2 linked regions of the Cricetulus griseus genome follow. The protein of the gene in region 2 binds, or shares a complex with, the protein of the main gene of each other region. Links are inferred from orthologs where the notes say so. Each region holds a gene or a part of one and is shown on either strand. Other genes may lie near its edges.

The links.
Region 1: Osgep (region 2) and EKC/KEOPS complex subunit GON7-like share a complex: the UniProt entries of both Homo sapiens proteins name them as parts of the EKC/KEOPS complex. The link is inferred for Cricetulus griseus from reciprocal best matches to the Homo sapiens genes OSGEP and GON7.

Annotation. Positions count from the first base shown.
Region 1 is NC_048598.1:103,312,708-103,317,032, reverse strand, and holds the start of EKC/KEOPS complex subunit GON7-like, read right to left. Parts: upstream 3,087-4,325; 5' UTR 3,025-3,086; coding exon 2,817-3,024; intron 1-2,816. Other genes in the region: putative E3 ubiquitin-protein ligase UBR7, read left to right, coding at 3,290-3,439. UniProt on the Homo sapiens protein: Component of the EKC/KEOPS complex that is required for the formation of a threonylcarbamoyl group on adenosine at position 37 (t(6)A37) in tRNAs that read codons beginning with adenine.
Region 2 is NW_023276807.1:206,591,998-206,595,212, forward strand, and holds the end of Osgep (probable tRNA N6-adenosine threonylcarbamoyltransferase), read right to left. Parts: intron 3,002-3,215; coding exon 2,936-3,001; intron 2,836-2,935; coding exon 2,745-2,835; intron 2,531-2,744; coding exon 2,455-2,530; intron 2,361-2,454; coding exon 2,262-2,360; intron 2,005-2,261; coding exon of another isoform or gene 1,965-2,004; exon of another isoform or gene 1,787-1,964; intron 1,159-1,786; coding exon 1,005-1,158; 3' UTR 712-1,004; downstream 1-711. UniProt on the Homo sapiens protein: Component of the EKC/KEOPS complex that is required for the formation of a threonylcarbamoyl group on adenosine at position 37 (t(6)A37) in tRNAs that read codons beginning with adenine.

The sequences.
Region 1 (4,325 bases), on a different chromosome or scaffold from region 2:
ATTACTTCCAAAATTTGTTCCTCTCATTCTTAGAACTACTAATTTACTTTCTACCTTTATGGATGTGCCTATTTTAGACATCTCATATAAATGGAAAGAAACATAGAATGTGTAGCCATTTGTGCCAGACTTACTGTTTTAGAATTCATTACTGTTGTAGCATGGATCCACACTTCACTCCTCTGTGTGTATATGTGATGTGTATGCACAAACCATAGCACACACAGAGGTCACAAACTCATTGTAGGTCTTTACCTTCCACTTTAAGAAAGCATCTCAGCTGGGTGGTGGCGGTGCACACCTGCAGTCCCAGTACTTGGGAGGCAGAGACAGCTGGCTCTCTGATTCAAGGCCAGCCTGGTCTACAGAGTGAGTTCTAGGACAGCCAATGCTACTCAGGGAAACCCTGTCTTGATCCCCCCTAAAAAACAAACAAACAAACAAAAAAAGGGGGGGGGTAATGTATCTTTGCATACACTATGCTTCCTGGCTCTATTCCCTAACTCACTGCAGGGAGCAGGGAGCAGGGAGCACTAGGATTATGGGCACATGGCAGTACATGGGTTCTTGAAGCCAAACTCACAATCCCATGCTTGTGCAGCTCTACCCACTGAGCAATCTCCCCAGCCAAATACTTTATTCTACACAATGAATACTATTCAACAATTAAAAGAATGCTCATGTTTTACTCTGGTGATGGGCAGTTGTATTATTTTGATTTCACAGCTATTAATGAACAGTGCTACTACAATTATTGAGTTTTGGTATAAACATATTTCCAATTAACTTTGGAGAACTAGTGGTGTAACTGGGGTACTATAGTTTTTGCCTGCTTGCCCTTACTCTGACTAGCAAGTTCATCTATCTATTCCTGAGACACCTCTTTGCTGGTGTTATAACCTACTTTGCTGGGACTCCAGCACCAGATTAGGAATGCTGAGGCATCCAGTCTCAGAGACTGAACAATTACTGGATCCTTGGTGTTTCTGTAAGGAGAAAGCCACTGTTGGACTATTCAGACCACAGGCTGTAAGGGCACTCTAACAAAGATATTCTATCAATAGGTTTTGCTTCTTTAGAGAACCCTGACCAATGCACCTAGCTAATACTTTATTATTATTATTTTAAATTATTATTATTAAATAATAATATTATTATTATTTCAAGACAGGATTTCTCTATGTAACCCTAGCTGTCCTAGAACTCGTTCAGTAGAGCAGGCTAGCCTTTAACTCACAGCCTGCCTCTGCCTCCCGAATGCTGGGATTAAAGGTGTGCACCACAACCATCCCCAGATTTTACTTACTGTTCTTCTTAATGACAGTCAATAACCCTATTATAAAGAACAGTACAGTTTAATCTCCTCTGTAGAAGAACTGACTCCTTAGCTCAGAGTAATGAAATCTCTTTTGTGTTCAAGATTAAAAATAAAATTTAACAAAGGTCAGGTTTGGTGGTGCATGTCTTTAATTCCAGCACTGATGAGGCAGAGGCAGGCAGATCTCTGCGAATTCAAAGTCAACCTGGTCTAATCCAAGGCCAACCAGTGGTACCCTGTGACACTGTCTACAATTTTTTTTTTTCTTCTATTAACAGAGTTGGGGCTGGAGAGATCAGTGGTTAAGACCACTGCCTGCAGGGGTTCTGATGCCCTCTTCTGGCCTCGGAGCACACTGCATAGAGCAGTGGTGCACAGACACAAGTAAGCGGCAGGCAAAACATCCACCTTGTTAAAAAAAAAACCAAAACCCAAAAAACTAACAGTTTATTTCTACAACAGTAGAGGGGGTGAATGATAGTAGGGGCTAGAGGAAGGGAATGGCTGTGGTGAAACTTTCTTTTGACCATGACATGGCTCGGACACAGGGGCAACAACTGTGGTTACCTGAACGAGACGGCAACCTCAACAGGGGCTCATTGGGTCCCATCCCGCCCGGAGGAGTTTTTGACAGTTAATGGGTGCTGGGGGAGGAGCTGACGTTTTCTTCTGTGGTGTAGTCACCGCTGAGTTGCCCTTGCTCCAGTAAATAACCATCCACCCCTTCTCATACAAAGAACCTTAAACTCAGTGAGAGACAACAAAAAGGAAGGCAGAAAAGAAAGCGGCGTGTGTGTGTGTGTGTGTGTGTGTGTGTGTGTGTGTGTGTGTGTGTATGTGTGAGTGTGTGTGTGTGTGTGTGTGTGTGTGTCATCGGGAATGGTTCAAGCAGGGGACGAAAGAGAAGGAGAAAATGACCACAGCGCATTACATGCACGCATGAGACTATCGGTGACTTTAAAACACACACCCACACCCACACAGCAAAACCGAAACCCCCTTATACTTTCAAAAACAGACTCGAGAAAGGACCCTCTGAGGGTTAAGACTCCCCACGACACAGTCGGTCTCGACCTTCCGAAGCTGTGCCCGCTGTGCCAAACAGGTTTCTAATTTCACACCTGGGGAAGACTCCCCCCCACTGGCGCCACGGGCCGCCCCTTAGGTCTTCCTTCCAGCTAGCAGCGACTGCAGACCCCCAGCCCAGCCCACCCCCCACGCCCCCAGGCTCCACTCTGCGGGTCTCAGTCCTCCGCGCCCCGCAAGACGGGAGGCGTCGGGCTGACCCGGCTCCCTGTCCAGCCCCCAGGCAAACGCTCGCCACGCTCTTCTGGCTGAGGTGAAGGAAGAGTCGTGGAAAACGCGGGGCAGAGAGGGCCAACCGTTTTCAGATGCGAGCCTTCCTGCTCGCCCGCGCCGGCCGGCCGGCCAGACTCGCTGTGCCAAGGCTGCCAGCCCTTCCCTCACACAGCCGGAGACCCCGGCGCCCCGCGCTCACCCTCCTCGGCGTCCTCCGGATCTGCCGTCACGCCCTGCGCGTCCCGCTGCTCCACGAGGGGCCCGAAGAACTCGGCTACCAGCTCCCTCATCCGGGCCACACCCGCCGACAGGCTCTGGAGAGGGTCCGCGTCGCCCGACGCCTCACAGGACACTTGCAGCCGCCGGGGCTCGCCGTCACACCCGACGTACTCGCCCGTCAGCTCCATGGCGACCCCTTCGCTTCAACGGCGCGCCACAGAGAACCGCCACCCGGAAGCGGAAGCCACCCCGCGGGCCGGCGCGGGCGGGAGAGACGGGTAAAAGGCATGACTTCCGACTCCCGGCACCCGCCCCGCCCATTTTCTTCCATCTCCACCTTTACCATTGGCTGCCTGACGATCAGGCCCCGCCTCCTCGCGACGCCCCCCCCGCAGGCGGTCCCTTTTCCCGCCTCCGCCTGGGCCGCGCCGCGGAGCGCTGTGACAGTTGAGGATGGCCGGAGCGGAGAGCCCCGCCGGCTGCCCGGCGGAGCTGGAGCCCGTGGTGTCGCTGGTGGACGTGCTTGAGGAGGACGAGGAGCTGGAGAACGAGGCGTGCGCCGTCCTGGGCGCCAGCGACTCGGAGAAGTGCTCCTACTCGCAGGTGCGCGCGGCCCGCTGCACCCGCCGTTCTGCTGCTTCCCGCCCGCGGCGGCGGCGGCGGCGGCGGCGGCCGCCCCGGCTCCAGGGCTGCCCTTCACCCCGGGCTTCCACAGCCCCGGCCGGCCCTGCGGCCCTTTGATCCTCAGCTTGTCGCCAGCAGGGCTCTCCCTCCGCCCTGCCCGAGGCTCTCTGCAGGCTCCGGTCCCCGAGCAGCAGCAGCAGCAGCAGCAGGAGCAGCTCTGCCCTCCTCGTTGTCGCCTCTTGGTGGCCTGCTTTCCACGAGCTCGTCCTCGTGACTTCTCAAACCACCCCGATATTCTTCGCCCCACTCCTTCCACTCTTAAAGAAGCTTAATTGGGCACCAGGTGGGGGGGGGAGGGTGAGCAGAGCTAAAGGGAAGTGGGCTGGATTTGAAAAATGTGCCCGTGCAGTCTAGTTTAACTGCTAGCTGGTTTCTTTCTTTCTTTTTTCCTTCCCGGTAAAGTTCCGAGTGTATGTGTTGTGTGACAGACACCCCTTCTCCCTCCGGAGTAGATCGGAACCAAAACATCATGTGACCCTGGAAAGCCGAGAGAGGAGGAAAGGATCTGCTTGGCGCCTGTGCGACCTTGTAAACAAGAGTTGTTTGAGGGCCGGTGATGTAGGGTTTAGTGACGCATCCCGTACATCTAAGTACAAAAGTGGAGAAGGGTGGGTAGGAAGGCACCAACAGGATGAGAATTGGTGGAAGGAAGCAAGCTAGCTATGCCCGTGGGTGGAGTGGAAGACTGGGGAAGGAGGGAAAGAACTTGGAGTTACTGTGTGGTGTGGACTAAAGTCATAATGCTATTTGTCTTCGTTAACCAACTTGGGTTTGCACTGCAAAATTGTTGGGTTGTGGAATTAAA
Region 2 (3,215 bases):
TTCCCAGTTAGCTCTCTCTCTGCCTCTAAGTTGTAGATCAGGATGTAAGCTCTTAGCTAGTGGTGACTGCCGTGACAGCCACGGACTTTATTACCTTTGGGAACAGAGAACACCAATTAAATGCTTTCTTTTGGTCACAGTGTACTGTCTCTTGACAGCAATAGCGTAACTTAACTTAGCAAAATAGTTCAAAATGTTGAAATATATACAATATATAAAAAATAGTTGAGAGGCAACTAAGAGACAAAGGTGACGTGTACAGGGAGAGATATGTTGGGGATCTGAGGATCAGGAGATCCGGAAGTTATCAAGGACAGCGAGTGGGAGGGTTAAGAAGATAATGAGGGAGATGCAGGAAGGACTGACTGCCTTCAGTTGCATTGTTATCAGGGGGCTGCAGCAGCCAGCACGGCTCTCTCACTTGCACTTTTGGCTGCACAGACGTAGGTATAAAGCAGGTGATGTGTGTAGAAGTAGAATGGCGGCTAGGGATGCAGCTCCATCCAGAGGTTCAGTCCCTAATACTGTATAAATTGGGTGTGGTAAGGTACACCTGTAACCCAACGCTTGGGAGGCAGACATAGATGAGGTCATCCTATGCTAGTTTGTTCAAGGCCAGCCTGAGCTTGATGAGATCCTGTTTTTTTTTTTTTGTTGTTGTTGTTTGTTTGTTTTGTTTTTAAAATAAAAATGGCAAAGGCAGACAAAGCATCTGCAGCAAGGTGTTTATTATTGGAATTTAACTGAGGATAGCAAACAATGTAGAAAGGAAGTAAGATCAAAGGGTTTCAGGTCCTGGAAAAGGGATGGATTCCACATAATAACCTGAAGAGCCAGATTGTGGCAGAAGAACGGGATGAGACTGAGTTATGGAACAGTGCGTTGCAAGAGGTGGGGCGTGGCGGTGCACACCTTTCTCCCAGCACTCAGAAGGCAGGGGCAGGTGGATCTCCGTGAGATTGGGGCCAGTCTAGTCTACACATCAAACTCCAAACCAGGCAGGGCTACATAGAGAGGCCCTGTCTCAAAGAGACAGAGGAGGGAAAGAAAGAAGAGATGCTGCACCACCTCCATGCCCAGCGGTACATGGATGTGAAAGACTCACCACCAGGCGTTAAGAGAAGCAGTCTTTCCGAAAAACTAGGTCTCAGCGCAACGCTGTGAAGACAACATTTGAAAAAGAGGGTGAGGATATATGGATTTTACAAATGGCTGATAAGTTTCAGGAGTTTGGAAGTGGGACAAAAAAAAAAAAAAAAAAAAAAAGATGGCAAAGCACCTGGCTGCCAGAGGCTAAAGAGGAGCTTGGTAGTTCAGGACCTCTTGTGGCACTATATATGGCATGATATCTACAGTTCTGATGCTTGTATTGGTGCTGAGGTGTTGTACATCTCGGGTGCCTCCCAGATACTGGCCAGTGAAGTGTTTGAAGGAGTACATTAAATGAAGTTTAGGAAGGACAGGAGTTTTAGTAAAGTTATGAATTGGATCTATTTCCAGGTCTTTTTAAGGGATATCCTGAATACCCCTTCAATGAATGTGAACACAGTTTGTTAAGTGTAGAGGCCTCGGCACAGGACATGACACTAAAACACTATTAGTTAGGAGACTATTGTTAAAGGGATAGAAGGACAGCACCCACGACTTTCTCCAAGTGGCAATCGTCAAAACTATCTGCACCATCAACCAAGTGCTACTCTGACCCTCACCAGCTTGTCCACTGACCTCACCAGTAAGAATTTACCCAGCACTCACTCTGTTATTGGTCCTAAAAAACACAATCCAGTTGTCAACGTACAAAAACAATCTCTTTATTTCAGAGTCATCTTGGGGTTCCACAGGAACCCTAAGCCTTGTGTGGGGTCCATACACTAGCCAGAGAGGAGAAGAGTCCATAGTATCACCAAGATTCACTCCCACATCAGCACTCCACTTGGCAAGCTATTCTGGTCCTGTTAGTGTTGTTAGTCCCTCCACGTCACTTCTACTTCATCTGTCCTGTACCTGTGGAAAGCAGGAAAAACCCTGTGACTACCTGTTTGCGCCATTTTTTGTTGTTTTGTTTTTGAGACAGCATCTGTAGCCCAGGCTTATCTCAAAATAAAAATCCTCCTGCCCTGGCCCCCACATATTGGGATTACAGGTACATGCCACCAAACCCATCACCTACAGCTTTATCTGTTCTTTGACTTTTCTACCTGTTAATTTCTACCTGTCTCCTGTACCTACTATCTACTTTCTCAAAGGAGGATGTCACTCACCTCTGTGTAATTCCAGACTCTCTGAGAGGGGTCCTATGTCCAGCTTGAAACATCTCCCAACCTGCTTGGGCTATCATGGCTCCATTGTCAATGCAGAATCTGGGGAAGAAGCAGTAACAAGACTTGTGGCCTAAACATAGAAAAACCGTAATGATGGGAACAGAAGAACTCAAGACAAAGAGAAGGACTTCACCTCTCATCTGTGGCAAAGAGCTGGGCTCCCCGCTCCTGGCACATTGCTGCCATCATCTCCTGCAGTCTCACGTTACCTATGAAGACACAGGAACCACAGATAACTTAGATTTGGCCATTTTGCTATCAAACCAGTTGTGCTCCCAGGACAGTTTACCAGAAGACTAGGGAAGAGGGTTGTGAAACAGTTAAAGAGATGAAACAGGTAACCCTCCAAACTCTGGTAATGTAGCGTTTCAGGAAAATGACTCTCAGGACTAGGAGGAAGGCACACTGCCCAGTGACACATACATCCAACTCCTCCTACGATGAGGGCTTCCTTGGAGCCACAGTGTGCCATGGCTCGCTCTGTGATCTCCACTAGCATTGCAAACACAGTTTCCTGTGGAAGACAGACAAGGGGGAGACATCAGAGCAGCATCCCACCTTAGTTCAGCTCTACTCTAGACTAAGTTTTGCATCCCAGCTTTTCACTCTTTTACCTGTAAGGAGAAACACAGGTCTTCAGGAGTACATTCCCCTGTGGCCAGCATTTTCTGCGCTACATCCTGCAATTAAAGGGGGGGAGACAACCCAAAGGATGAATACCGACATGAGGCTTTCATGAAAACAAAAATTCCTGCACTTGAAAGGATAGCTGACTTCATTACAACTGACATTATAGGAGTGCTGCACCCCACATCATCTTCTTTTGTTAATTTTTATTTTCAAGCCTTTTTCCCATGTAGGGAGGAACTGTTTTCCCTATAATATGTAGTGCCC